Mus musculus: one gene and its partners. The protein of the gene in region 5 purifies or fractionates together with the protein of the main gene of each other region. This does not show direct contact. Links are inferred from orthologs where the notes say so. Each region holds a gene or a part of one and is shown on either strand. Other genes may lie near its edges. The genes, in order: Cdc45, Zup1, Prpf19, Rad52, Rpa2, Parp1 and Atrip.

Region 1 (4,032 bases), on a different chromosome or scaffold from region 5:
CTCGCGGGCTGTTGCTCAATGCCAAAATGTTGCTGCAATGTCCCCTACAGCTTACCACATCACCAGCACTGTGTGGGTTAGGCTTGCAGTAAATCTTGGGCAGCCTCACGTGGCCTCCTCAATATTAGATCCTTTATCAAACAATCACTATAGGTAAAACCTTTCCTTAGTAACACCAAATTGCCTGCCTATGGGCTCACACCTGTAATACAACACTTTGAAGGCCAAGGAAGGAGGATTGTCCTCGGCTAGCAAATAAGATCTTGTCTCAAAATACTGGAGGTAAAAAACTCGACTGATATAAGTACTTCAAATTATAAATGAATCTCTTCCAAGTCATCCTAGAAGCAGCCAGGGACTCCAAATGCATTTTGACATGCCCTACCCATTCCCTATAGGGCCTTCAATAACCCATTCTCATCTGGTCCCAGGCAGAGGTAAGGAGTCTTGGTTCTACCGTTTAATTCCAAAGTGAAAACGTGTTTGATAACTGGAATGCATTTTCTAGAGATAACATAGAGCAGTAGTGTATCCTAATGAAATAAGTGAGGTTAGGACTGAACCCCCTCCCCAAGAGCAAGCATGAGCTGGATCTAGCCTGCTGCCCCCCACTCCCCCTGCACACATATGTAGCAAGTGCAGCTTCATCTTCACGTGGATCCCCAACAACTCAAGAGGGGGCTGCTCTGACTCTGTTGCCTTTATGTGGATTCCATTCCCCTAACTGGGCTGTTTTGTCTGGCCTCAGTGGGAGAGGTCCTGCAGTGACTTGATGAGCTGGGAGGGTGGGGGTGGGGGGGGTAACACCCTGTAAGGGGGGGTGGTTCTCCTTCTCAGAAAAGGGAATAGGAGGAGGTACTGTGGGGGGGGGTAACTAGGAGGAAGGAGGCTGATATGGGATACAAAATAAATAAATAAATGGAAACAACAAGTGAGGTCAGAGTAGGTGCTGCCCACAACTAAACTGTTTTTATTTTTGAGACAGGATCTTGTCGTGTAGCCCAGGCTGGCCTCAGTCTTGCTAGATGTAGTTCAAACCTACCTTAAATTGGTGGTTCCTTGGCAAATGTTGATTCCGCCACCATAACTTTAAGCCTAATAAAACTGATACTTCAAAAACACCCTTCTCCTACTTCAGAACTGGACAAATGCTAAGTATTAAGAACCTGCCACTGAGTAGAGTGGCCTAATTATTCTCCAATTCATTAGTTCATACCTGCTCTTTATGTTCAAGATATGCAGTTTCAAGTTCTTGCCACCCAGAAACCGGAACCAGCGTATACTGGACGTGGTCACACTGAAACAGGGCCTGGAGAGAGAGCATGTGGTCAGAAACCCTCATTAAAGATAACTTACCTGCAATCACCAGAAGCAGACTAGTTGAGTTGAGACAAAGATCTATGTGATATGCTGTTTGGTAAAAGGTCAATAGGAGAAGCTACGTGGCAAGGCTGTGAGCAAGAATTCAATCTGAATCTGTACAGTGTGCCAAAGTAAAACATTAAGAGAAAAAAAATACCCTAATTTTAATTACAGGGGTTCTGAAAAATTCCTAACCCCAGCACATTGTAAAAACCACACTATGAGCCGGGTGTGGTGGCGCACGCACGCCTTTAATCCCAGCACTCGGAAGGCAGAGGGAGATGGATTTGAGTTCGAGGCCAGCCTGGTCTATAAAGTGAGTTCCAGGACAGCCAGGGCTACACAGAGAAACCCTGTCTTGAAAAAACAAAAACAAAAAAACAAACCACACTATGGTCAGAGCCCAAACTAACAATCTTCTCTAATAGACTCGGGGCTCCTGTATTTCCTGCACTCCCTATTATACCACTCCCCACTGTCACATCTCCTCTCTCAAATTCCATCTTTGAGAGGTCATTTACAAATTCAAAGATTTCAGAAGTGAAACCATTTTCACTTGGGTTACTGTATAAAACACTACGTACTTGTCTCACTGTTTGCACTATACTTCTCTCTAGCTCCAGTATAGGTCAGAGAGGATATTTTGGGTTCCTCACCTCCTGCCTGCTCCTTCTGGTCCCTCCCCTTCTGTGACCTACCCCCTGCTGGGGCCAACCCTGATCTGTCACCTCTCCCTCCTGTCCTACCTTCCTAAGGTATTCAAAGCTCACCTGGAGGATCTTGCAAGCACACAAGGCATCCACGTCCGAGGCCACAAAGAGAAGGACCCTCTGTAGAAGCAAACGTGGACAGATGAGTTGAACACAGGGACGCTAAACTCTGTGGCAACTCTCTGACCTCCCGGCCCATCCACGGACACTCGCCCTCTTCTCCCCAGCCCCCAGATAAGGTTTGGATCAGGATCGTGGAATGGGAGTCACCTGGTTGTGGACCGTCTCGTAGAACTCCTTGCGGAAATCGGTCACGAACATAGCCACAGCGGCGGATACCTAGAACTGGCGCTGAGACACGGACAGCCCCGGAGGTCGTCAAGACTCCCGCCAAATCACAGCTCTTCTGATTGGTCCACGCCAGCAGCCAATAATTCTTAGCCTTTCCTCCTTTCTGATTGGTTCCTACTGGGGACAGCCAATAATGCTCTGCTATTCGCAGCTGGATAAGACCCGCCCGTCCCTCAAAAAATGAAACATCTTTCCTCAGGCTGCGAACCTTGTTGCCGGTGTTGACGCTAACGTCCAGTCACCCAAAACCACCTATGTTTGGCAGACATCTTTACTTCGGGAAGGAAGGTCTATTATCTGACCCTGGCATACTTAGAAAACAATATACTCTTAGACATAAAGTAAATTCAGTCACACATTATTTGAATGTGTTTCCAATAAGTTTCCAATACACGGTTCGTCGAATTAGAGTGAGCTATAGATTACTTCCGCCCGAATCCATGATGGCCGGGATCAACGCCGGAAACTCTAGCTGCATTCTGGGTATTGTAGTCCGTAAGGAGAACGGCTCCTATCAAGTTGTTTGGAAGAGAGTACTATCTAAACATTATAAACAGTCGCTATCCTGTGAAATCAATTATCAAGTGTTTTAATGTTTACTTTAAGTAATATTCAAACCTCAGGCCTTCCCATGACTTTCTGTTTTTCCGCCGCTGACTTCAGGCCTCCGTACCCCATCCCCTGCGGTGTTCCGTCACTTCCGGCGAGCCTCTCGCGGTTTCTGGGTTTCAGAGCAGTGGCCTGGACTGCAAAGAGGGAGCTGTGGGTTTTTATTGTAAGGTTCAGGAAAAGAAGCGGCATCACCAAACGCTGTCAGTCATGGTGAGTTGACCGGGGATCGCGAACCGGATGATGCCAGAGTTGCCCCTGGAGCTGGCAGGGAGGGCCTGGACCTGGTGGCGGAGGTGCCGAGTCACCCGGGCCTGCGTCGGGCCCCGACACTGTCCCGAGAGCTTCTGTCCCAAGTGGGACCCATAATTACGAGCCACCTCTTTTCTTCTTAGCTTGTCCGAGTCATGACTCGAATGCCTTTCGGCGGGACAGCAGCCCCGAGAGTAAAAAGGAACCTGCTACTTTATGTCGATAGTTCTCATAAGTGCTCGACACGCAACAAGTTTCCATGAACTCGGAGTTAACTGGAGATTTCTTGGGGGAGTGGCGCGAGGGAGGAGAAAACGAAGGACATTAAGCTCAGCCAAAGTTCCCTGACCTTTTATTTAGTAGAAATCATGTCTTAGGCTGTATGTCACGTTGTGTTCATCACGTTGTGATAACGACAATAGGTAATATGTAGTGCGCCTTTTTTCTATCAACGTATACTTATTTAATTCCTGCATTCCCCATGGAACATAGGTACGTAGTTATTATATTTACCGGTAGAACTAAAACTTAGAGAGGTGGTACTCAGGAAAGTGAGGCTCAGAGGTTGGAAGTCAAGTCCATCCGGCTGCAGTGATGTCTCATCACTCCTGTATATAGTGTTGACTCCGTGCCATTTGTTTGTTTGTTAAAAACAAGAAGTGATTATTAGATTTTTATCCTGAGTGTCACAGTAAGTCCCTGTCTAAGTTCATTTACATAACCAGCACTGAGTGTTTGATGTGTTAGG
Region 2 (4,008 bases), on a different chromosome or scaffold from region 5:
CAGACAAAAGAGAGCCCAATCTGGCGCCGGAATATTGTGATCCTTCCTTCATAAAAGCACTCTCCCAAGCACAGATGGCTCCGACCTTTGAAGGAGACAGGAGTTAGTATTCTCGAAGTGATAAAGTCCACTCATTCTCAGGCAGCTGTGACTGCGTTATAAAAACACGCTGGTCTTTGATAAGTTATGTCTTCCCAGGTCAAAAAGGTCTTGTTCCAGCTGCGCAATTCCTCCTCCCTGTCTGAACAAATACTATCGGTTCTCTTTTCCTCTTCCCAATCATGTAACACCAGGGGTTGAGAGCCCCAGTTTATGCATCCTCCTATATATACCTTAAACCCCTAGATTTAGGGGTCACTGTGCATTGGGAAAGATAGCGAACCGGGTCCCGGTTAATAAAAACTCTTTGTATATTACATTTGGTCTTCCAATTTCTGGCAGTCTCCTGGGGTTCCCGCAAACTGGGCATAACAACCTGGTTACAGAAGATGGCCAGTTCATCTTTTTTCGTTAACTAATACTGTCTTGGAGGAAAAGACGAGTCAAGTGGGAAGCTGATGAAGGAGGAAATCTGGAAGCAGAGTTTTAGTTGCCCCTTGTTTAGACATTCCACAAAGTTCTGTTTTCTGAACGTTTTTATACCTCTGGAGAAATGATTTCATTGTTGTTGGCCTCGCAGCTAATGGTTAACTGCTAATGTGCTCATTTTTAGCTTGAAAATGTTCTGTAAGAGTACTTTCACTCTTACAATGACTTCGAATTTTTTTTTTTTTTTACTAAAAGAAGGAATTCTACTAAAGGAAATAGTATTTCCTCCATGCATCACGTTCAACGATACCCAATAATTTAAAAATATTATACTTGTCAGATTATGTCATCCTCATATTTAAACACGTCCGTAGTTGCCTCGTAGATCAATCCCCCAGAGGGAGAAACAGACTGTTAACACTGGATAAGCAACTTTGTAATATTGACAAAGGAACTTGTCTTAATTAACCCGCAGAACATAATTTAGAGCTCAGATACTGTGTAAACAGGAACAGGTGTTTGCCGCAGAATCAGACATTTAAATGTACTCAGAATCTAGTTACGGTTTTAGCATATCTGGAGTGGAAACTGCAACTGGAAGGTGGGAGGGGCAGTGATGCTCTGATGTGCAAGCGAAAGTTGCAAAAATCCCTCACAAGTCCCACAATGCACCGCAACTCAGACGGATCTGCAGCGGGGCATGCTGGGATCTCTACCCTCTCTGGCCAGTGAGGAAGGTCTGTTGTGACTGCGGAGGACTCTTGGAGGCCTGGGCTCTCTTTTGGGTCGCGGCGCGGCAGTCTCGGGAGGTCTGTCCTTGGCGATCGGGCGGGCTGTGTGGGGCGCGCTTTCGGGCGGTGGCTGGCTCCTGCGGTGGGGAGGAGCGGCGGTCTAGCCGTGGGTCCGGGTCTGCAGGCCGGCTCCGGGTGGCCGCAGGTCCGGTTCCCTGCGCCCCACCGGTGCGACGTTGGCTCAGAACTTTGACAGATTCGGGCCTTACCACCTTCGCCATCCCGTACCCAGGCTAGCCCTTCGAAGGTCCCCCCTTACTTGTAGTGTGTCCTTTATCTGCAGTGCCCCAGTCCTTGGAAGAAACGAAACTAGGTATCGATAGAACTTCCTTCTAGAAACAGAAACTTATTACTGTCTGAAGAGAAACGAGAAAAAGGAAAATGTAGAAAGATTTTGTAAAGCTGAAATTAGATGAAGGGAATAGTTGCCCTCGTTTTTCCTTCCTATTACTAAAATACGTGACAGCCAGGTGATAGTCTAGGGGAAGGTCTGGGTTTGTGATTGCGTTAAAAGGTTTTGTTTTGTTTTAGCACCTCCCTACAAGTAGTCCATCTCCCATTAGCCCATCAATCTCATAACTCGTTTGAAAATGAACTTCCGAGGGTTGAGCTGTTAGCTAACCTAATGAAACCAGCGTCTATACCCCAGTTTCCTAGATCTTGGCGGTAAGTGCTGTTTTCCTACAATGCTCACAGCTTTTACCTTTGGGCTCTGCGGTGTTTACCTTCCATCGTTATCTGACTGTAGTGACCTGTCTGGTCCAGGGTTTCCATGTATGTAAAACCACAGCAGTGGTATTAAGTTTGACACATATAAAGCTCTGAAGTGAACTAAGGTGGATTTACCCTCCTCATTCTACTACATGCAAGTAAATATGTTGATCAACATTAGCCTTCTGTTTTACTTTATTTTACATGGACAACTTATTAAATATACTTTTTTTTCTACCTGTTGGACGAAATGCCTTGTATTATTGTTTTTTGAGATGGAGTCTCACTATGCAGCCCTGAATGGTTTGGAACTCAGCTATGGCTGGCCTCCAACTAACAGATCCACCTGCTCTCTGCCTCAGGAGTGCTGAGATTAAAAGGGTGTATCACCAATGCCTTGTTGAAATGTTTTACTCATAAATTTTCTTATTATTACCTCTGATATCTTGACATTCAGGCACAATATCCTTTATCTAGAATATGTAGAAATACAATACTAAACATAAAGTTTGTTTGTGTCATATATAGCTTGTATTTTAAAACATATTTCTCTGTATGTATTTCTATTTTCAGTGTGCCAGTGTTTTGACTGTCCTACATCGTGTGATCAGGCATAGATCCACTTGGGACCTGTCTGCTCAGAAGGTTTGAGATCAGGCATAGATCCACTGGGACATGTCAGCTCAGAAGGTTTGGATTTTGGAGCATATGGAGTTTAAATTTTTGGATTAAGAATGCTTGACCTGTAGCTAGGCTTTCTTAGGACATATTATAAATAAGTGTGTTTATTTAAGGAATGATAAGTACAGTGAATTTTTCTTTGCCAAAGCTAATATAGCTCTAAATACTCCACAGAAGAGTCCCAAATCATTTTTATGAAATGTGCTTTTCTTCAACTTTGACTTTCAAATTTACAATTTTGTTTTACTTCTATTCTAGGCCCATGCTCTGCCATGCTTTCCTGCAACATATGTGGTGAAACTGTAAACTCAGAACCAGATATGAAAGCTCACCTAATTGTTCACATGGAAAATGAAATTATCTGTCCATTTTGCAAGTTGTCAGGTATAAATTACAACGAAATATGTTTTCATATCGAAACTGTTCATTTTGAACAAAATGCACCAGAAAAAAACTCTGAGAAGCTAGCTGCAGTGCAATATGGACATTCAGACCGAAAGAACACCAACCTGCAGAGTACAGCGGAAGTTACTTCAGGCATTCATTCAGCTTGTGCATCTAGCTTTCCAAAAGAGTCATCTGAAAGCCTTCCTAAAGATAGGACTGTAAAGCATGAAGCTTTTTATACAGAGAACATAACTGAATCTAGAAAGTACCAAAAGAGCAGAGAAAAGAAGCCTGGATTGTCTGAGGCCCAAGGATCAATTTATGAAACAACATACAGTCCTCCCGAATGTCCATTTTGTGGAAAAATTGAGGGGTGTAGTCAAGATATGGAAATTCATGTGAAAACAAAGCATGCCAGTCTTTTAGAAAGTCCATTAAAAGGTAAAGTACTCAATTTATTTAAATTGTTATAAAAGCGGTAGTCTCAGTTTAATATGTGGTATCCAATGAGTTGGCTTGTCAATTGCTACAATTGTGCTTTTTAGATTCAATTTACGTTCATAGTATTTTTCATTTGCTATCATTCCAATATAAAAATTATAAAGAGTTTGATGCAGATATAGAATGCTTTAGCTAAAGTAAGAGCAGTTTTGGTAACTTTCTAGTTTCTAGAGAGCATTTGTACTACCACTAGCCCAGAACATCTCAATTGTCCTAGACTGTGGGTTGGTGTTAATGAATTTTAGTTTGCACTCCATGATGTTTATTTAACAAAACACACTGATACTGAGCCTTTTGGACTTGCTGAGACTTATTTTATAGCTGGAGATAGAGATACGGACTATCTTGGTTCATGTTTCATGAGTCTCTGACAAATATGTTCCATTTTCTTGAGTATCATTCAGTACCC
Region 3 (4,099 bases), on a different chromosome or scaffold from region 5:
TAGCCTATTTATTTATTTTACTGTGTGTGCTTGTGTGTGTGTGTGTGTGGGGGGGGTGTCTTGGGGACTGAACTCGGGTATCAGGCTTGGTAGCCGATCTGGTCCGGTCTTTAGTAGAGAAAACAAAAGAAGTTGGCAGGAGGCAGGGAACTGTTATTATAACAAAACACCTGAGGTAGGCTACTTTAAAGAAAAGAGGGTTCTCCTTGCTCAAATTTCTAGAAGCACAAGGTTCAAAGAGAATGACGTGGGCAATGTCTAGGGCCTCTTCCTTGCTGGTGTCACATTGCCATGGAAGTCAACTGGTTCATTTGTGCCTGTTCACTCTTTCTTTCCCTATATGAACTCCACCAGGATTCTTGTAATGTCTTATTCTAAAGATCCCACCTCTACATTCCACAGTTAAGCTAGATAGTAATGACACACACCTTTGATTTCAGCACTCAAAAGGCAGAGACAGGAAGATCTTTGAGTTTGAGGCCAGCCTTATCTGCAGACTGAGTTCCAGGACAGCCAGGGCTACACACACACACACACACACACACACACACACACACACACAAACCCAGTCTCAAAAAAACAAAAACAAAACCACAGAAAAACACCATAGTCGTGCTAACTTTCCACTCTTACTGTTTGGTTGCTTATTGAGACATGTTCTCTCTACACAGCTCTGACTGCCCTGGATTGGAGCTCACTATATAACCAGGTTGGACTTGTACTCCGAGATCTGCCTGCCTCTGAAGCCCAGTGCCTGTGTTTAAAGACTTCTGCAAACACACCCATCAAATTTCCATTCTTTTAAACGTACACATAAGACGCTGGGAACTAAATTCCCTTGAGTTTACAAAACAGACTATATTTAAAACGTAGCAGGCAACGAAGTCATTGGCTTGCCCATATTTCCAGAGCAAGAATTTAGGCAGTGTTAGTTTCTTTACTCATTTGTGCTTTATTTACAGGGTCACATTGTTTCTCAAAAGCCGGCCAAGGAACACAGGTCTCCGAATCATGCCTACAGACTCTCTAAGGCAGACTCTAGGAATCTGCACTTTTACAAGCTCCTGAAAAATCTGTCTTGCACACGACCATTTCAAAGACTAGTGTTCCCTAGGTGACAGCAGCTCCATCTAAAAAAAAAAAAAAAAAAAAGAGCCTTGGCGGTCCCCGCAGCCTCATGGGAAATGTAGTTTCTTCTCTCCTTCCCGCCTCAGGCCTCTTGGAGCGCTCGCCGGAAGAAGCCGAGCCAATGCGGAAACAGCCGAGTGTTTCGAGGCGGGCCTTTTCCTGCTCGGTTGCATGCTGGGAAAGGGCAGTTTCCGTTAGCTGCAGAAGGCTGAGGCGCGCCACCGGCCACCTCCCCACGTGAAGCAGTTGTGCGAGCATCGCCACGCTGGGCAGCTGTCTACCCGCGTCCGAGCGCTCCGGAAGCGGCGGGGGACCGGAAGTGGCCCGCGGAGGCTGCAGAGAACCGGGAACCCTCTGTGAGGCGACTGGCAGCAGCGCTACGACGGCGCCATGTCCCTGATCTGCTCGAGTGAGTGCTGGCTGCGGCGGGAGGCGGGAGCGTGTGTGGCCCCTGTGGCTCGGGCCCTGGAGCTCCCGGCCCTGCGTGCAGGGTGCATTTGCGCAGGGCTGCGCAATTCACGTAGCTGGGAAGAATGACTGTCTCAGGGGTCTTTTGAAACCGGCGTCGTTTTACAGAGCTGAGACAGGCCTGAGCAGAAGTGGGGGGGAGGAGCTGGTGCAGTGAAAAACAGCTCTTGGTGTCAAAAAACCCGAGGACATGCCCAGGATCCGCCTCCAATTGTGATCTGGGCTCTAGCGGGTTTGGGCCTCAGTTTCCCCATCTGCAAAATTGAAAGCATTGCAGTGGGCATTGCTTGGGAAACCTCGCTTAGGAATCGGACTTTCCGATTTGCAGAGATCACGCAGTGACTTCGAGACAGGGCTGGAAGCCAGGTGTCTGGCTTCTAGCCTCGCGCAGTATGACTAATGAAAACAGCGAATGTTTAGAAAACCTGTATTGATTTACGATGCATTTCCAAACGGTGATCTCATTTTATGCTTACAAGAATTGTCTGAAGGGAAATAAAGATCCGTGAGTTACAGAGGGTGTCGGAAGTCTTGAAGAATGGGTTTACCTAGGGGTGTGCGAGGAAGCTAAGCAGTGGAGCTTGGCTCTTTGAGCCTGGATCCATGGTTTTCCCGTGCACTATGCTGTCCTGTCTTGGGGTGTTGTATTACGGCATTGCGGGTGTTCTCCCATATTGTTTACCACGTTACTAGATTCCTCGCCTTCTCTATTTCCCTCTCAGAACGTTGCCATTAGTTCAAAGAAGGAAAAGGAGGAGGGAAATGACAAGCAGAAAAGGAAATCTCATACTAGAGAAATTGCAGTTTGCAAAGTATTTACAAACGATTTGTTTTCTTTCCATCTTTGAGACCACACTCTTACGTGCCCAGGGCTATCCTTCCTCTGGTAGAAGAGGGAAAGCTCCCAGAAAGCTTTAGTCGTCGAGTAGTGTGATAAACCAACAGAATAGGACAGGAAGGCCGTGTACAAGATACGGGTTTTAAATATGGCACAAATCCATACTTAATAACACATGCATGGGAGTCCTGCAAAAATAGGTGATTCTAAGAGAAGCCACGGAGAAGAATAGGAGCTTGAACCTTAGGATGGTGACTCACAACCTATGGGAGGCTGAATAGAATTGTGTGGTGAATAAGAGCTGTTTTGTGATGTGACAAGTCGCTATCTTAGAGCAGCTTTCAGAAGAGTCTGATGTGGAGGTAGCTTCCACTTGTCTGCTAAAGTGAACCAGTTGACCCTGTTTAGGGGAAGGTAGAGAAACAAGTCTGAGAAGGTCAGAGAGACCTTGGTTTTAAGCCTGCTTTTGGGGCCTTCATTTCTTTATTTTTTATTTTGGTAGTTAAGCATGCTCAAGGCTTCGTACTTTGGAATATTCTTTTCTGGGCCCCGGGACTTTTGCACTCATTTACCCTGTTATGATGTTTATCAAGTGTCAGCTTAGTATCTGCATTGTCCTGGAGGTCAGTGACAGCTGTAACGGCCATCTTCAAGGGTACACAGACTATTCTGTCAAGCGCTTAGAATAGAATCTTGCTTGGCATGTAGTAGCAGAGCTCTTTGTTTGCTTGTTTTCATTTTATCAGTACTTGTCACGTTGCTTCGGAATTTCTCCTGTTGATCTGTCTAGGGCTCCCACTGGATGACAGGTTTGAGTTGTGCTCTGTGTGCTTCTCTGTCCATCTCGGTTCAAAAATGAGATGGGCAGGACTTACTGACCACTCTGTACAGTACTGGCACATAGGATCTGGGCAGTTATTATTTATTGACTTTTATTATCAGCAGACCAGAGAATTTAGCTAAGTAGTTGGCGAGCATTGTAGGACCAAGTACGGGCAGGCTTGCTGTCACAGACCTTGCTTCCTGATAGCTGACTAGGAGGACATGGTCTTGTTGGGGCTGACACAATGAAGAATCTCCTCTGCCCACGTCTCCTTTTCTCCTGTGCTCACTCTCACTACCTGTCTTTCTCTATAGTCTCCAATGAAGTGCCAGAGCACCCGTGCGTGTCCCCTGTCTCTAATCATGTGTATGAGCGGCGACTCATTGAGAAGTACATTGCAGAGAATGGCACAGATCCTATCAACAACCAGCCTCTCTCAGAGGAGCAGCTCATCGACATCAAAGGTGCCTGCCCAGTAGCCTCAAGTCCAAGGCCAGCTCAGCTCAGCCTTCACCGGTGGGGGGTGGAGCCAATCTGGTGGAGAAGATGGTGGCTGGGGGTGGGGGTGGTGGGGGAGAGTTCCCTGGGTTCTAGTTCTTCATACCTACTTTGCTGCCTCTCTTGGCAGTTGCTCACCCAATCCGACCCAAGCCTCCCTCCGCCACCAGCATCCCAGCCATTCTGAAAGCCTTGCAGGATGAGTGGGTGAGTTCTGTGAAAAGAATGCACCTCTGGGCTAGGACCTGGGGATTGAAAAGATGGGGCCTCCCTCCTCCCTCCTCTCCCCTCCCCTCCCCTCTCTCTTCTGTGTCTGGGTCTTTGGCTTACATGTATGACCGTGT
Region 4 (4,288 bases), on a different chromosome or scaffold from region 5:
AGTTGGGGTCTCATTCAGACTGCCCTAGAACTCACTGTGTACCCACTCCCTGCCTTCTCAGTCCAGATCAGATATTGTCCAGTGTTCTATCAGAATAAACCAAAACTGCACAGAAGGAAGGCCTTGTCCAGAAAGAGGCCAGCCCACAGCCTTCTGGTGGCAGGTGGCAGGAACTCCTTTCCCTTCCCAGGTGACTTTGGTCGGTGTATCTCACATTTGAGGTTGTTCCTGTGGGGGAGTGCTGGGGTGGGACATGGATGGCAATCTTGCTTCATATTCAAATTGCTATCACCACAAACCCTGTCTACATACATGAGAAATGAAGTCGGCTCCGTTCTGTACTTAGATTTTGAAAATAATGAACATATCTTGTCTGTTTGGTCTTATAATTTCATCAAAGCATCCATCTATATTTTAGGTGAAACTGTCACCCAGAGCTGGTCAAGGCGGCCCATGACTTTAATTCCAGCACTTGGGAGGCAGAGGCAGAGGCAAGCAGATCTCTCAGTTCTGGGACAGCCAAAGCTACAAAAAAAAAAAAAAAAAAAAGAATGCAAGCCTGGCCTGATGGTACTCACCGTTAACCAGCACTTGGAGGCAGCCTGATCCAGTGCGAGAGAGGCCCTGTCTCTCACCAATTAATGAAAAAGTAGGGAAAGAGGAAAGGAAGCTGCCAAAGCACCCTTAATTGTAGACAGCATGCTCTGTACACGAGACCCAAAGACTCCATCAGGAAAGTCTCAGAGCTGACAGTCACTTTAATCAAGTACCAGAAGGCAAAATTAATTCACAAAAACCATTAGGCTCTGTGCAGACCAATGACAAACACAGTTGTATTCACAATTACAACTATAAACAAACGACCATGGAATAAACCCAGCCAAAGAGGTGACTTTCGGGGGTAGGGGGGTCTCTCTGTGTAGCCCTGGCTGTTCTGGAACTTACTCTGTCGACCAGGTTGGTCTCGAGCTCACGGAAATCCACCTGCCTCAGTCTCCTGAGTGCTGGGATTAAGGGTATGTACCACCACACCCAGCTAACATTGTTTTAAAAACTGTTTATGTGCATTGGTGTTTGTCTGCATATATGTGAGGGTGCTGGGTCCTCTGCAATGGAAGTTATAGACATGTGGGTGCTGGAAATTGAACTCAGGTCCTCTGAAAGAAGAGCCACTACTCCTAGCCACTGAGCCATTTCTCCAGCCTGCATTTTTTTTTAAAGATTAGAAATTTTGATTCTTTAAAAAAAAAAAAAAAAAAAAAAAAAAAACAGCCAGGTGATGGTGGCACACGCCTTTGATCCCAGCACTTGGGAGGCAGAGGCAGGCGGATTTCTGAGTTCAAGGCCAGCCTAGTCTGCAAAGTGAGTTCCAGGACAGCCAGGTCTACACAGAGAAACCCTGTCTTGAAAAAACCAAAAAAAAAAAAAAAAAAAAATTAATGTTTGTATTATATAAGTATGTGTGTTTTGCCTGCATGCTTATCTGTGCACCACAAGTACTGAAGAAGGTATCCCTTATAACTAGAGATATAGACAGTTGTAAGCCACCATGTGAGTGGTGGGAATTGAACCCAGGTCCTTGGGAAGAGCAGCAGCCAGTTTTTTAAATAAAATATAATTCACATCATTTCCTCTCTCTCTCCTCCAATCCCTCATATCCCTCTCTCAACTTCATAGCCTTTTTCTGTTTTGTTTTACACAGACAACAGAGACATACATATATGAATAAATAAATATAACCCCTAAGTCTGTTTAATGTAGCATGTACATGTACAATTTTAGGGCTGATCACTTGGTACTGGGTAATCCATTAGGGGGTTCATCTCTGGGAAAGCCATTCTCCCTTTCTGACAGTCATTAATTGCGTATAGCTCTTCATCTAAGGGCGGGGCCCTTTAAGACCCCTCCCCCAATCCAAGTTGGCATGTCAACTGGTGCTGTTAATTGTCCAGGTCTTATTAAAGAAGCAATATTGAGATGGCCATGTAGGGGAATCAGCCTAGATGACCATCAACTTAATCAACTGATGGATAATTCAAACGAGATACAAACATCGGAACTTTATTCTGCGGAACAGATCCCACCGAAACCCACACAAAGTACTGTATTTCATACAAGTGAAACAGGTTCACTGACAAAGCAGACGGGGGTCCTAGGATGACGGGAAAAGTGAGAGGGAGAGCTAACTGTGGCTTCTGGATTTATTTAGGAGTGATGAAAATGTTATGGAATTCGATGTTGCTAGGGGTTACACAACCCCCAAGCATATGAGTAACCAGAGAACTGTACACCCCCGAGGAGTGAATTTAACCGTACTAATGCACGCTTCGTTTTTCAAAGTCCAGAAAGGCTACCCTGAATGTCAAACTCCTCAAGTCCACAGTTTCTTCTCAGCCCCACCGACTCCCTCCGACTTCACCCTGTCCTAGACAGTCCTGTTAACAGTCAGCGCGCGTGTCGCACGGTGCTCCCGAGCACGCGGTCAGCAACCCCGGACCAGGCGCCTCCCTCCAGATCCAGCGCAACCGTGGGGGCTTCAGGGCTCGGCCTCCCCGGTGGAGACGCCCCCGTGCCGGGCGTGTCCAGCAGCCGCCCGAATCCGAAAGGCCCCACGCTCCCCGACCCCGCTAGAACCACCCCGGCGAGGACCGTCCTCACTCACGCGCTTCGGAACGCGGTGCACGCAGGAGCTCGGTCCGGGTGCCTGCCGGGAAGCCGGAGAGGGCCTCGCAGAAGGAATGGAGACTCTGCAAGCTCAGAGTCCTCGCCCAAAGAAAAACAGAAGGAAAGGCCGTAAGTCAAGTCAGAAGGCGCCGAGAGCCGCAAAGCAGGCTGTCGCAAATCAAGTCGCGAACTGGAAGCGGCGGAGGACTCAGCATCCTGAGCGCTCTTGGGCTGTTATCTCACCGCCCGCGGCGATCAGCCTTCCCGCAGCCGCAGCAAGCCGCTTCGGTTTCCGTAGGCGCCCTGCGAGGGTCCCTGGTGTGACCCGGCTGGGTGACGCCCGGAGCCAACCTCTCCTCGGTGTGCTTTTAAACTCTGAGACCCTGGCAGCCAGTGGGATTTCCCCTGAAATTCAACCGGAACTAACTGGATGACAGTTACACTTTAGGCATCACTCCAAGTTAAACACAGACTGATCTCAGTTTATGATGTTTTCTGCTTTACAACAGATCTACGTCTCCAATGTGTAGTTTATATACTGAGAACTTTTTGTTTTTAATGGTCAGGCCTTCAGATTGTTGCAATTTAACCAATTCATTATATGGCCACTATATCCAGGATCTTTCGTGTTTTCCTAGATGGTTGACTTAACTAATCTTCCCAGAAACACGGAGTCAGATGCAGTTAATAAATAAATCGAAAGTCCTTTAGCACATTGTAGGGTCCATACTGACAAGACCAAGATAACAGGACAATGACACTAGCTACAAGAGAAACTCAGAATTCTGTTTCTGGAATTAGCTGGTCACTCAACTTGCCCATTACTTGCACAAAAAGGAAAGACTCTTTCTCAGGGCAGTGGTGGCCACATCTTTAATCCCAGCACCCAGGAGACAGGGGCAGGCAGATGTCTTGAGTTCGAGGATGCTACACAGAGAAACTCTGTCTCGAAGAAAAGAAAAACATCATTTGAAACTGTGCTACTGGCCGATGCAAGAGTACCAAATTTCCATTCTGGTGGCACAGACCTGTAACTCAAACTACTGGGGAAGCTGAGATAGGAGAATCCCAAAATCAAGGACAGCCTGGGCTTAAAACCTGTCTAGGTAAAAAGAGGGTTGGCATTATAGCTTAGTAGTAGGACTCTTGCCTGGCATGTAGGAAGTAATGGACTCAATCCCAACGACAGGGGAGGAGAACCTGAACATCTACGGCTACAGAGATCGCTCCACAGTTTAAGAGCACGTACTATTTCAGAGAACCTGAGTTAGGTTCCCCACATCCAAATTAGGGGACTCACAACTACCTGTAACTACAGTTCAAGGGGACCCAGTGCTCTCTTCTGGCCTCTGAAGGCACCGTAAACATACGACACTCATTTGCCCAGACACACAAAACATGTATACATATAAATAAAAACAAATCTTTTTTAAAAAAATAGACTATTAATCTGTTATCCGTGCGCCTCAGAACGTGGTGCTTGCAGGAGCTTGGCCCCGGGTGCCTGCAGGAGCTTGGCCCCGGGTGCCTGCAGGGAAGCCGAAGTGGGCCTCGCAGAAGAGATGGAGACTCTGCAAGCTCAGGGGACGCAGGGAAGAGGGCCATCAGGTTTGTACTGAGCCAT
Region 5 (3,500 bases):
AACCAACACACCAAGTCTACCCTCTTGACTTCCCTTGCATACAGTGGTACATGTGCCCACATTCATATTCACATTTTTAAGTCTAACAGGCGTTTTGCCCAGAAAGTCACTTGAATATGTTTGCCTTTTACTTATATTTTCCTCTTACTTATAATAGAACAAAAAGAGCTTGGTGGCCTTTAAGATCATTCCTCTGGAAGACATGAATGAGTTCACCGCACACATCCTGGAAGTGGTCAATTCACACATGATGCTCAGCAAGCCCAACAGCCAGGTGAGCAGCTGCAACTGACTCCTCCCTTTCTGGGAAACCAAACTTAACATTCATATTTCCGTGTCTGTGTGTGGTGTGTGAGGGATCCCCTGCAGGTAGGGCTACAAGCTGTGTGCCACCTGCAGCCAAACTCAGGAAGAGCTCAAAGAGCTCCCACTGCTGAGCCATCTTCAGCCATCACGTGGTCCTCAGCACATTTTCTCCCCGAGCTTCGCCACTGTCCTTTAGTCTAAGTGAAACACTCATGTTTCTCAGAGTTTCCAGTTGTTTCTCACCCAATACCAAGATAGCTGACCAAAAGTTTCAAAGCCAAACAGCATTTTGCGTCCAACCTGTACGCCATAAAAACATCTCAACAACAGACATCTAATGGGTGTTTGACTGGATGGCCTAATAGGATAGAGTTTGTCCTCTGTGTGGTCGCACTGTGTTAAACCTCACAGGCCGTGTGACCCTGTTATTCAGTTCAGTGGGTACAAGACTTAGCGGATGTCCTGTTCATCAGCACTGCAGAGAGGAAGGCTTCTGAGAAGGTGCAGTGGGAGTGAGTGGGAGCCAGAGAAGCCTGGAGGGGCCACTGGGGAGCAGTGGGCAGCATTGTCTGCTGCTAAGAGGTCAGATGTTGTGGTGACCAAAAGGCTGGAGCAGCCAGGGACTAGAGACGTTGGTAGAACTCAATTCAGAGGATTTGAGATAATCCAGCTAGTGGTAGGCAGAGAAGGAGTGACCTAAAAGAGGGTGAAGCATCTGTGCCTTTCTCGGTCTTATCCATAGTGGGCAAGCCCTCTGCCAGGGATCTGTACTCACAGGCAAGCCTGGGCCCTTTTCTCTCTCAACAGGGTTTCACGATAATAAATGCTCACTTGAGCGAGCCCAGGGAAGCCGCTGTAGCTGGCATGTGAAGTCGTAGTGCCAGAGCCTCCTTTCCGGGGACAGGGAATGCATGCCTCGGGGTTAGTTAACGCTCCTTACGAGGTTTCATTGTTAGAGTTTTCCTATATCAGTCGTTACTAGGGAAACTGATTAAATTGTTTGCTGCTGTTTATTAGTAAGTTAGGTGGAGTAGGGTTGATGTGGTGGCTTTTCTAATGTTCTGATCTTGTTCTTAATTCAGGCCTCTGCAGGGAGACCATCGATGAGCAACCCAGGAATGAGTGAGCCGGGGAACTTCAGCGGGAATAACTTCATGCCAGCAAATGGCCTCACTGTGGTCCAAAACCAGGTAAGCTGCCTGCTTACCCTGCAGAGCACGGGCAGTCTGATAGTTTGTTTCTTCCCAAATGATGGGAGGTTATCTTGCAGCCTGCTTCACACCAACACCCCTCCTTTTTAACTTGTGTGTGCTTGCCTGCTTGTACAGATGGATATGTGTATGTCCACAATGCCCGATACCAGTAGAGGATAGAGAGGGTGGAAACCCAGGGTCTCCTGAGCCATCTTTCCAGCTCCTCTTTGTTTATCGTAAGTAAGCTGATGCAGAGTAGTTGGTTGCTAAAGTCTTTTTACTCTGAACTGTCAGGTGCTGAATTTGATCAAGGCTTGCCCAAGACCTGAAGGCCTGAACTTCCAGGACCTCAGGAGCCAGCTCCAGCATATGCCTGTTCCCTCAATCAAGTGAGTCTTGTTGTCCGTGGCCTTGGATCTGTCCACAACCTTCTGCTGGTGGGGAGTGGAAAAGGTGAAGCCGGATCTATCATCTCAGCACTTGAAAGATAGAAGCAGGAGGATTGGGAGTTCAGAGCCAACCTGGGCTGCCTGAGACTCACTCACACAGGAGTCAGCTGCTGGGAAGAAAACAGAAAAGCACTCACAGGTGGCGCTGTTGCACCGCTTACTGATTTGTTGGGACCTGAAGGCATCAGGCAGCCCTTCTTACTCCAGACTCCTGATTCCATTGCAGTGAACTGAGATGGGTGTGTGTGTGTGTGTGTGTGTGTGTGTGTGTGTGTGTGTGTGTGTGTGTGTGTTCAAGGCCAGCCGAGTTTACATAGCGAGTTCCAGGACAGCTCTGACTACATAGAGACCAAGACCCTGTCTCAAACAAGCAAACCCATTTACTAACTATATGCCGAGATGGAGTAAATGCCCAGGCCAGTTCCCCATTTTATGCTGTGAAATGGTGGTCGATAACGCCCATCTCAAAGTCATTGTGTTGAGGTAGCTACACTGTAAATGGCTCGTACTAGACATCTTCCTGTCTCTGAGGACCTAAGGATTTGGAGGAGTCTCTTTCTGGCTTACCTTTCCCTTCCCGCCACTCTACTGCCCATAGGCAAAGCAAACGGCATCTCAGTGTGTGATTCTGGGGCCTGAATCCAGGGAAGGGAGCTGTAAGACCCCTGTGCACATCTCATGTGCGAGCTGACTGTAGCTTCAGGATCTTACGTCAACTTAGATTGGCATCTAAGTGAAGCCTTGTTTTATTTTGGAATTTGAGTCCGGGATCCAAGGCAGCCCTGGTAGCTCTGGTCTGCATGGATAACCTCAACCCTTGGGTTGTATCGACATTTCTCTACGAGAGACTTCCATGAACAAAGTGACTGAGGAATTCACAGCTAAGAGAAGTACACAAACAAGTGATGTTTGCTCATTTAGCTATGTTCAAAAGGCGCTGGTTTTAATGTGGGGATCCCCCCCCCTTTTTTTTTCCTTTCAGGCAAGCAGTGGATTTTCTGTGCAACGAGGGCCACATTTACTCTACTGTGGACGACGATCACTTTAAGTCTACAGATGCAGAGTGACTGGAGTTTCCTGGGTGCCTGGAATCTGTCCAGCTGGGCCTGTGTTCCTCTGTCGGCCCCAGCTCTGCGGGCTTTGGCCAGAGGCTTCTAGGACAGAACTTTGCTGTAGAAGGTCTCACTCAGCTGAAGTCCTTTTGGAACTTAGTGCTCTCTGTTTTGTTGCTTGTTGTTTAGAGGTTCAGAGGGAGATAGACAGTTGAGAAGGAAGTAAACCAGGACTGGATTTCTTGTAAGAAATTCCAATAAGCTAGTCAGGACTCCAGGATGGGTGGTCGGAATTGAAAGAGGAACACTGCCAAGATGTCAGGGCAGGGCTTCAGCTTGCTTGAGAGCGACTGTTCTCCAAGGCTTCGTGTTGAGGACAAGCACTGCTAGGGCCAAGGGCCAAAGAAGAACCTACCACCCTCTGCCAGTTTGCGCTGCCCTCTGGGTCTGCGGGGTTACTTTCGGAATTGCACTTTCCTTCCCTTGTCTTGCCCGCCGTG
Region 6 (3,500 bases), on a different chromosome or scaffold from region 5:
TACTTGTCTAAGTATAGGTATGTAGGTAGTCATTTAAGATGTGTAAGCAAGGTCTTTATTAGCATAGCAGGTCATGTATCAGTCTCATGGAGTGTGAGTGCTGGGGCCTAAGGGTACCTCACAGTCTGTGATGGTGTAAAACTCAGAATGTTTTGAGAGCTTCAAGCTGGCTTCATGTGCCTTTGTTTGGACTCAAGGCCCTAGGTTAGCTGGTCCTTGTCCTGCCTTGTTATTCCCTAGATACCTCATGATTTTCCCTACAGGGCCAGATGCGCCTGTCCAAGAAGATGGTGGATCCAGAGAAGCCACAGCTGGGTATGATTGACCGCTGGTACCATCCAACTTGCTTTGTCAAGAAGCGGGACGAGCTGGGCTTCCGGCCTGAGTACAGTGCCAGTCAGCTCAAGGGCTTTAGCCTCCTCTCTGCAGAAGACAAAGAAGCTCTGAAGAAGCAGCTCCCGGCCATCAAGAATGAAGGGTAGGTGGGATGTGGTTAGAATGTACAGTTCTAGGGGAGCCTGTGGATTCCATTCCTCTGATAATGATGATCAGAAAGAGAGGAGCTCTGAGGCTATAGGAGCAGAGGGCATCTGCTGCTCCAGTACCCACCCACCAGCTCGCCGACCATGACATCTTCCCGGGCTTCTGAACCTCTCCCGACTCCTGCACCCAGGCGTTAGTACAGCAGACTGCCACTTTCTCATACAAGGCCACCCTTGTGGCCATCCAAGCTTCCTTGCTCTGGTGATGGCTGTGCTTCCAAGATCTGCATTTGTGTTCCTTTAACGTTGCCTTAGTCACGCAGCAGAGGTGTCTCTGTGTCTGCATCTCTGGGAGAATCATGACTGTTCACAAAAAGATGAACAGCGGGAAGGGCCTGGAATCAGAACAGATGGGCCCACATGTGGAATCGGCATCTAGGATGGGAAGGGTCTCAGTCTTATTAATGAGCATGCTGAGCCTTGTGGAACTGTACCATGCTCATCAGCGACACCCATGCCACTGTCACCAAGCAGCTTCTTGCACTGTTTGTGGTCCTAACACAGGTTCATAGAGCAGCACTGGTGGCTTTGGAATGTGAAGTGAGCAAGTCAGGCCAGTGGGTGAGGGTGCCCTCGAACTGTCACAGCACAGGGTGCTGGGATTCTCCGGCTGTCTTTATTTATGACGTGATGCTGGAGAGGTGGAACATGCCCAGCTCTGTGCCTGATCTCATTATCGCCATAGTCCCACAAGTTCTGCTGGTCCCTAGCAGGTGGCTTTAGAAAGTACCAGGGTGAACTCAGGCCTCGTGGAGATCTGGGGAGCAGCTCCCTGTCTCACTCCAGGCTCAGTTCTTACAGTTGTGTTTGGCTTTTCCACAATTCCCTGTCACTCTGCGCCAGAGATGTGGGGTTTAGCATGAAGTGTGACCTGAGCCCTTGGTCTGTCCTGGTCGTCCTGGACACTAGGGTGAACTCCAGGCCCCTCCTTATTGGCAGAAAAGGTCCTGAAGGGCGTGGCCTCTCCTGTCTGCCTGGCTGCAGGTAGCACTTGTACCTAAGAGGGCAGGTGGGCAGCTAAAATGGCTAAAGTGACATGTTACCTGGTTGCATTGAGCATCGGTCTTGTGGGTTCTTATAAAGTCCTGCATTTCTTTCAGAAAGAGAAAAGGTGACGAGGTGGATGGAACAGATGAAGTGGCCAAAAAGAAATCTAAGAAAGGGAAGGACAAGGATAGTAGTAAGCTGGAGAAGGCCCTCAAGGTGAGTCCTCGGCTCTGTGACAGACGCCCGCCCGCCGACCCTGCTCACCGAGACCAGTGCACACTCATCACTGAGAGAGAGAGAGGTCTGCTATTTCCATGAGCCCTGTGCTCACAGACCTTCTGGCCTCCCACTGTGTGCCCTACCATGGGGAGTAGTAATAAGGATGTTGGTATTGAGAGCCCAGCACTGGGAGTGGAAAGCAGGGAGTGAGCTTGTAGGTGCCTCAGTCAGTGGAGTTAAAGTCTTTCCTTGGTGTCGGTATGGCCAGCGCTCTCCTTTCCATCTTGGGAGGAGCAGCCTGCTGCTCAACCCTCCTGGCCTGCTGTCCCAAGGAGCGTGGAGGCTCACCCTGCCATACCTCCTGGCAGATAGTTGTGAGAATGAATGAGATGCTACATAACACCAGCAAAAAGTAGGCACTTTGTAGACATTGAAATCAAGATTTTAAAGTCCCAGTTCTAGAAGAGGTCGCATATATACCTGCTTGAGCTTAAGTGAGGGAAATCTACAAGTGGGTATTGGGAAAGATAATGGGGACCAGGCATTTCCAGTCACTTCTGTCTCTTGAAACAGGTTTCTGAGGGGGTGACACCAGGACCCATGCAATAAGGGATCCAGTCTTACTTACAAGTGGTCTCCTTCATACTTTGCAAATGTATTCTGAGAGGATTGCCTGGCTTTATTGTAATTGTAGGCTTTTCCATCCTCATCCAAATTCCCAAAATAACAATTCTGCGATTAGATTACTTATGAATAAATGCCTAGGCCAAAAGCTTCAGCTAGTTCCCCTACTTTGTATCTTATTACCCCATTTATTCTAAGTCCTGCCATATGGCTAGTTACCTCTTCTTAGGTTCATCAGACCATCTCCATCAGCTAATCCCCTTTCTGCACCTAACTATCCCAGCATCCTCTCCTCCCACTGAAACTCCCACCTTCTATTCCTGCCTGAGCTAATAGGCCAACAGCTTTTTCTATTGACAGGTGATGCCATACAGTGCACAAGAGATTCTCTGTGCTTTGTTTTGATTGTACAGGGGTTTGCCTGAGTGTGGGGGGTGTAAACCTGAGGGTGGAATTGGTCATACTAGCCTTGGAGAAACAGCCAGCCCAGCCCCATCAAGGGTATGCAGAAGAAGGAAGGCTCACTGATGGGCCTGGCACTGGCGGTAGAGCCTGGCCAGGAAGAACACTGTCTACCTAGTCTAGTAACCTGAGTTGAGGTTTCAAAGTAAGTCAATCATATATACAAATTTTATGTGAATGAGTGTTTTATTTACCTCTGTATATGTTTATGTACCACATGCTTGCCTGATGCTGGAAGAGGTCAGAAAAGGGCATCCAGGTACCTGGGCCAAGTTAGGGATGGTGCTGTAAGCCTCCATGTGGATGATGGAGTCAAACTCAGGTCATCAGGCCAGTAGCAAGTGGCTTTACCCATTGAGCCATTTTGCTAGCCCTGATTAACTCGTTTACAGTCCAGTAAAGACTGAGTGAGGCAAGAGAATTTCTATGAATTTGAGGGTAGCCTGGGCTACATAGTGAACGTCAGGCCAGCCAGGGTTCCTGAGTGAGATTCTGTCTTACTCCAGTCTCCCCCTAAAAGTTACCTCTTGGACTTCCTAAAGTGTATAACCCAGACCTTTTATTATCCCAAAAGGAGGAGGCCCACACTCCCTGCCTCAATGGCAATGAAGTCGCTCCTCTTTGTGTAATGTCGCAGTGCCCAGGGATGGCCCCAAGATCAAGGCA
Region 7 (4,267 bases), on a different chromosome or scaffold from region 5:
AGCTAGTGATTTGTTCCTGCCAAGAATCAGGACCACAGCAAAGCAGAGTTTCATCTCAGTCTTTTTCCAAAACAAATGCAGACCCTGGAAGAAAGATACATGCTATTCACTAAGGGCAGCGAGTACTTAAACAATGGGTGAATGTTTCCAGGCAACATTGTTTATTGTTTCTATTTTGTTTATTTTTTAGAGAAAGTTTCTCACTTGACTGGCCTGGAATTCACTGTGTAGTCTACGCTGGCCTAGAGCTCACAGAGATCCACCTGCCTCTGCCTCTTGAGGTTAAAGGCATATGTCAGCATGCCTGGCCTTGGCTGCTCCTTCTAATGTCAGTCAGTGGATGGACAGGTGACACTACTGTCCCCAGCGCGTGACACAAATGCTCTGGCTCACCTTTCTGGAGAATTCCTTTTCCTTTTCACTGAGTGCTTGAGTCTTTTCTTGCTCAAGAAGGAAATGTGATCTTTTCTGTTCTTCTAGAACGGATTCTGTCTGACGCAGAGAGTCACGCAAAATTTTAATTTCTCCATTCTTAATTAGGATTTCTTCTTCCATTGCTTTCAGCTGTAAATTACGCCCAGTCAACAGATATTCAGCAAGAACAGTTTCAGAATCCATTCACCACTTACACACAGATTCTTTCAGCTTTAACATTACGGCTCATACCCTCCACAGACTAAAACCCCATGTTGGATTTCTGGCTTTCTTAGGCACCTACAGATGGCCAGGTGAAAGATGTATGAGAGCCTGCAAAACTAACAAATATCAACCGCTAAGATGACATGTTCCTCAGATAAAGACCTAAGCTGTAGAGGCTAGAGAGATGGCTTAGCAGCTAAGGGCACTCACTGCTCTTACAGAGGACCCAGGTTCCGTTCCCATTACCCATATGAGGTGGCTCACACCAGTTGTGTTGATTCCAGAGGACCCAGCACCCCTGACCTCATGGGCACCTGTATGCATGCAGTGCATATAAACTTATATAGGCTCAGGGATATACACAGGGTAAATAAAATTTCAGGCATTCTTTCCCCAACCTTCTTTCATTTCAGAGGAATAAATCTAGATGTTTGTTTTATAGTTTTTATATATTTTACACATGCTTTTTAATACCAAAATGAATGAATTAGCTGCAAATACAATAAGTTAGGGCTGGAAGGATAGCCTAACAGTAGAGTGTCTGTGTATAGCATGTGTGAAGGTAAAGTCCTGAGTTCAATTCTCAGCATTACAACCAAACAGGCAAAACAAAACACAAACAAACAACCCAAAAGTCACATACCTTTTCTTTAAGTTCTTTGTATTGTATCTGAAGTACTTCTAATTCAAAATTATCTTTAACTGGAATATCTTCTCTGCTTTTCCTTATAGGACTATTTGGTAACCCATCTAATCGGCGGACCTTATGAGCACCTGTATAAAAAGTAGTTGCCCTTAGGTTGAGCATGGTGGCACAGAACTGCAATCCCAACACTTGTGAAGTAGAGCTATGGGGATCTCAAATTCAAGGCTAGCCTTGCTAGAGATCGAGAACCTGTCTGGAAAAAATAATCCCATGTATACTGCGGGGCTCAGTATGTATCCACCTTTGTCATAAAATGCAGAAGGAGTCACTCTTGAAAGCCAAGTTGAGAAAGACCCAGGTAACAGCTCCGAGCATGGTATAAACACATAAAGAATCCTTATGGCATAGCATATCTGAATTCTCTCGCTTTATACCTCACCCACTTTCTAGACTCTCAGCTCATAGCTGAACAGAGATTGCACTGGCTGTGACTCTACCATAACTACTATTTACTACAACATGTTAGGCATAGGATCTGCTGGTTTTAAAGACTGATGGTGAACCAAATGGATACATTCCAGGGGGAGGTGGGGCTCCAGGGATGGAGTAAGGTAGAGTACCGGGTGATGTAGGGCCAAGGAAGGGGGAGGCAGCATTGCTTTGTGCCATTTCGTGGAAAGTTGCGTCTAACCACTGCCGCATATGACAGCTGGTCAGCAATGAGTGTTTTCCAATGCCTGGTTTTCCATGCAATATTGCTGGAGAGATGGAGGGCCAGCCACATTTCCAGGGATAATCCTATTTTTCAGATGCTGTAAGTGCTAAGTACATTCGCAAGGTGCCCATCAAACCCTCCTGACACTTAACTTATTCCCCAAGAGTGTAAGCTCTAAGAAGAAAAGCAGCTTTGGCATTTCTTGCCCATTGCCTGTTTGCCATGCCTAACCTTTGGGCAACTGGCATTTTTGTGTAAGACTCTCTTTCATCTCTTGCCTCTGTCAGACGCCTTCTAATGCTCTTCTGCCCAAGGGTTACAATGGGGTGCATACCATCTAAATGGGAGGCCATTTAACATTCTGGATGTCTCACCGCCAAATCAGAGGTCTGCACCACCCGCCGGGGGAAAAGGCCCCTCAGGCACTCACTGGACAGGTTCCGAGGCGCGACGGGACACTGGCTCAGGGCCTGTGACGCGAGGATGTCGAGTTCCTCTAGGTCGTCCGCAGTAAATTCCGCGTGCTCACCGAATGGGTCTTCGGGGTCCGGGACTGTGGTCTCAGAGAAGCTCCGGGCCCGCTTGCTCGGAGGGTTCTCAATGGATCGAGACAGACCGGGGAAAGGCTCCAGGCCGCCACTCTGTTTCCTGTGGCTGTTCGGTGCGGGGGTCCCGGCCATGACTACCTTCAACCCGCAGCATCCGAAGACGCCAAGCACAGCCTTGTCCACAGAAAGCCTGAGCTGGCCCAACCGCCCGCGCGCCGCCGTTCCCCTCGCCTTCCAGCGTCTCCCCAGCCTGCGGGCCAATCAGCTGCCAGCTACCGGGCACAGATGGGTGACGTGTACAGAGCGCGCCGTTACCCGGGACAGGCTCCTGCGTGTCTGGGCTCAGTACGAAGGGGTCCCCGGTGATGCCAGGGTACTACAGTGCTGTCAGGATTATCCCGGTTGCGAGATCGAGGAGCGTCTGCCCGACCACACCTGAGGCGGTTCCCCGTGGCACTGTGTAGAATACAGAGCCCTAGAGAAGCAGGCAGCGTTCAGGGGTCAGCTCTCCCTGACCTCACTCCTCGCGGCTGACCCACCTCTCTCATGTCCAGAGACTCTTTTAGGGAGGAGGCTGGGAAGAGCAGACTTGGGGAGGAGAAGGAATGCTTTTCTTCCTGGAAGCAGAGATCTTCCAGGATAACAAATGTTTCAAGTATGTATATTTGAGAAAAAAAAAAAAAAAAAAAGGCTGGGAAGGATGGTCTCGAGAACGGCGTGCCTATTCGGAACTGCTCCAACTGTTAACTTCCATTTATTTCTTGGAGAGTCTTTATGTCCTGAGCGCTGGTTGCGTAGAGACAATGAAGCTCAAGAGGTCAAGGAAGGCTCGCTGGGAGTGGTCCTTGAATTACCCAACAGATTGAGGGGGAAATAGCAAGAAAAATGGGTTAGGAGGCAGACGCATGATGTTTCTGAGAAAAATTCATCTTCGACAAGGATGCCAGGTGGATGCCTCCTCTTTGCGACAGACTTCATGGAGGAGCAATGATTTGAGTTGGGCTTGGGTGTATGACTGGCTTTTATGAGCTGAAGTGGTGGGCAGAACAGATACCAGAAATGGCGGATTAGCATTGGAAGGCAACAAGATCAAGACTTTTCTACTCCGTTTGCTCAATGCCAGACTTAGTTTGTGAACCTACCAATGTTTGCTGAGGCGTTGGGCGGAAAGGAGAGCGCTCAGGCTTAGAATGCCTTAGGCCTGCCAACCCACCCCCACCCCACCCCTGCCTCATTATTTTTTATGTGTGTTTTACCTTCATGTATGTATGTGCATCACATGCATGTATGCCTGGTGCCTACAGTGGTCAGAAGGCATTGCATCACTTAGAACTGCCTTAGTTTCTTGATTCAGCTGCTGGTAGTTTTCCCATAGCTGCCCAACATAATGTTGAATGTTCAAGTCTCCCAGCAGCCCCCCACCCCCTTTGGTTATATGTCAAGACATATAACCAAAGCTGGCCCAGAACTCCAGAATGTCCTTCCTCCCGCTGAGTGCTGGGATTATAGACATGAGTTTTTGTTTGTTTGTTTTGTTTTTGTTTTTTGTTTTTGAGATGGCCTCAAACTTCTAATCCTGTCTCAGTCTCTAAAGTGCTAGAATTGTGAGTGTGGGCTACCAGGCGTGGCTGATTGCCCAGGTTGTAATAGCTACGATCTTTGGTTCTGGAAACAGGACATTGTCAGGAGGGATTACGTTCTACCAAATAAACGAGAAGT

The links.
Region 1: the proteins of Rpa2 (region 5) and Cdc45 purify together in Homo sapiens (affinity purification with western blotting; 3 studies listed by BioGRID and IntAct, with this or other methods). This does not show direct contact. The link is inferred for Mus musculus from reciprocal best matches to the Homo sapiens genes RPA2 and CDC45.
Region 2: the proteins of Rpa2 (region 5) and Zup1 purify together in Homo sapiens (affinity purification with western blotting; 3 studies listed by BioGRID, with this or other methods). This does not show direct contact. The link is inferred for Mus musculus from reciprocal best matches to the Homo sapiens genes RPA2 and ZUP1.
Region 3: the proteins of Rpa2 (region 5) and Prpf19 purify together in Homo sapiens (affinity purification with western blotting; 4 studies listed by BioGRID, with this or other methods). This does not show direct contact. The link is inferred for Mus musculus from reciprocal best matches to the Homo sapiens genes RPA2 and PRPF19.
Region 4: the proteins of Rpa2 (region 5) and Rad52 purify together in Homo sapiens (affinity purification with western blotting; 3 studies listed by BioGRID and IntAct, with this or other methods). This does not show direct contact. The link is inferred for Mus musculus from reciprocal best matches to the Homo sapiens genes RPA2 and RAD52.
Region 6: the proteins of Rpa2 (region 5) and Parp1 purify together in Homo sapiens (affinity purification with mass spectrometry; 3 studies listed by BioGRID and IntAct, counting the BioPlex papers as one, with this or other methods). This does not show direct contact. The link is inferred for Mus musculus from reciprocal best matches to the Homo sapiens genes RPA2 and PARP1.
Region 7: the proteins of Rpa2 (region 5) and Atrip purify together in Homo sapiens (affinity purification with western blotting; 5 studies listed by BioGRID, with this or other methods). This does not show direct contact. The link is inferred for Mus musculus from reciprocal best matches to the Homo sapiens genes RPA2 and ATRIP.

What each region holds. Positions count from the first base shown.
Region 1 is NC_000082.6:18,809,173-18,813,204, forward strand, and holds the start of Cdc45 (cell division control protein 45 homolog), read right to left. Parts: upstream 2,801-4,032; 5' UTR 2,394-2,800; coding exon 2,343-2,393; intron 2,193-2,342; coding exon 2,133-2,192; intron 1,310-2,132; coding exon 1,217-1,309; intron 1-1,216. Other genes in the region: Ufd1 (ubiquitin recognition factor in ER-associated degradation protein 1), read left to right, coding at 3,243-3,245. UniProt on the Homo sapiens protein: Required for initiation of chromosomal DNA replication. Core component of CDC45-MCM-GINS (CMG) helicase, the molecular machine that unwinds template DNA during replication, and around which the replisome is built.
Region 2 is NC_000076.6:33,948,460-33,952,467, reverse strand, and holds the start of Zup1 (zinc finger-containing ubiquitin peptidase 1), read left to right. Parts: upstream 1-1,208; 5' UTR 1,209-1,337; intron 1,338-1,850; exon of another isoform or gene 1,851-1,985; intron 1,986-2,603; 5' UTR 2,604-2,720; intron 2,721-2,969; 5' UTR 2,970-2,983; coding exon 2,984-3,539; intron 3,540-4,008. UniProt on the Homo sapiens protein: Deubiquitinase with endodeubiquitinase activity that specifically interacts with and cleaves 'Lys-63'-linked long polyubiquitin chains. Shows only weak activity against 'Lys-11' and 'Lys-48'-linked chains.
Region 3 is NC_000085.6:10,893,932-10,898,030, forward strand, and holds the start of Prpf19 (pre-mRNA-processing factor 19), read left to right. Parts: upstream 1-1,299; 5' UTR 1,300-1,518; coding exon 1,519-1,537; intron 1,538-3,571; coding exon 3,572-3,721; intron 3,722-3,885; coding exon 3,886-3,962; intron 3,963-4,099. UniProt on the Homo sapiens protein: Ubiquitin-protein ligase which is a core component of several complexes mainly involved pre-mRNA splicing and DNA repair. Required for pre-mRNA splicing as component of the spliceosome.
Region 4 is NC_000072.6:119,901,210-119,905,497, reverse strand, and holds the start of Rad52 (DNA repair protein RAD52 homolog), read right to left. Parts: upstream 2,801-4,288; 5' UTR 2,663-2,800; intron 1,177-2,662; exon of another isoform or gene 1-1,176. UniProt on the Homo sapiens protein: Involved in double-stranded break repair. Plays a central role in genetic recombination and DNA repair by promoting the annealing of complementary single-stranded DNA and by stimulation of the RAD51 recombinase.
Region 5 is NC_000070.6:132,774,860-132,778,359, forward strand, and holds part of Rpa2 (replication protein A 32 kDa subunit), read left to right. Parts: intron 1-157; coding exon 158-274; intron 275-1,388; coding exon 1,389-1,496; intron 1,497-1,793; coding exon 1,794-1,888; intron 1,889-2,930; coding exon 2,931-3,015; 3' UTR 3,016-3,500. UniProt on the Homo sapiens protein: As part of the heterotrimeric replication protein A complex (RPA/RP-A), binds and stabilizes single-stranded DNA intermediates that form during DNA replication or upon DNA stress.
Region 6 is NC_000067.6:180,578,891-180,582,390, forward strand, and holds part of Parp1 (poly [ADP-ribose] polymerase 1), read left to right. Parts: intron 1-263; coding exon 264-478; intron 479-1,642; coding exon 1,643-1,745; intron 1,746-3,500. UniProt on the Homo sapiens protein: Poly-ADP-ribosyltransferase that mediates poly-ADP-ribosylation of proteins and plays a key role in DNA repair.
Region 7 is NC_000075.6:109,071,325-109,075,591, forward strand, and holds the start of Atrip (ATR-interacting protein), read right to left. Parts: upstream 2,801-4,267; 5' UTR 2,681-2,800; coding exon 2,431-2,680; exon of another isoform or gene 2,335-2,430; intron 1,414-2,334; coding exon 1,283-1,413; intron 565-1,282; coding exon 394-564; intron 1-393. UniProt on the Homo sapiens protein: Required for checkpoint signaling after DNA damage. Required for ATR expression, possibly by stabilizing the protein.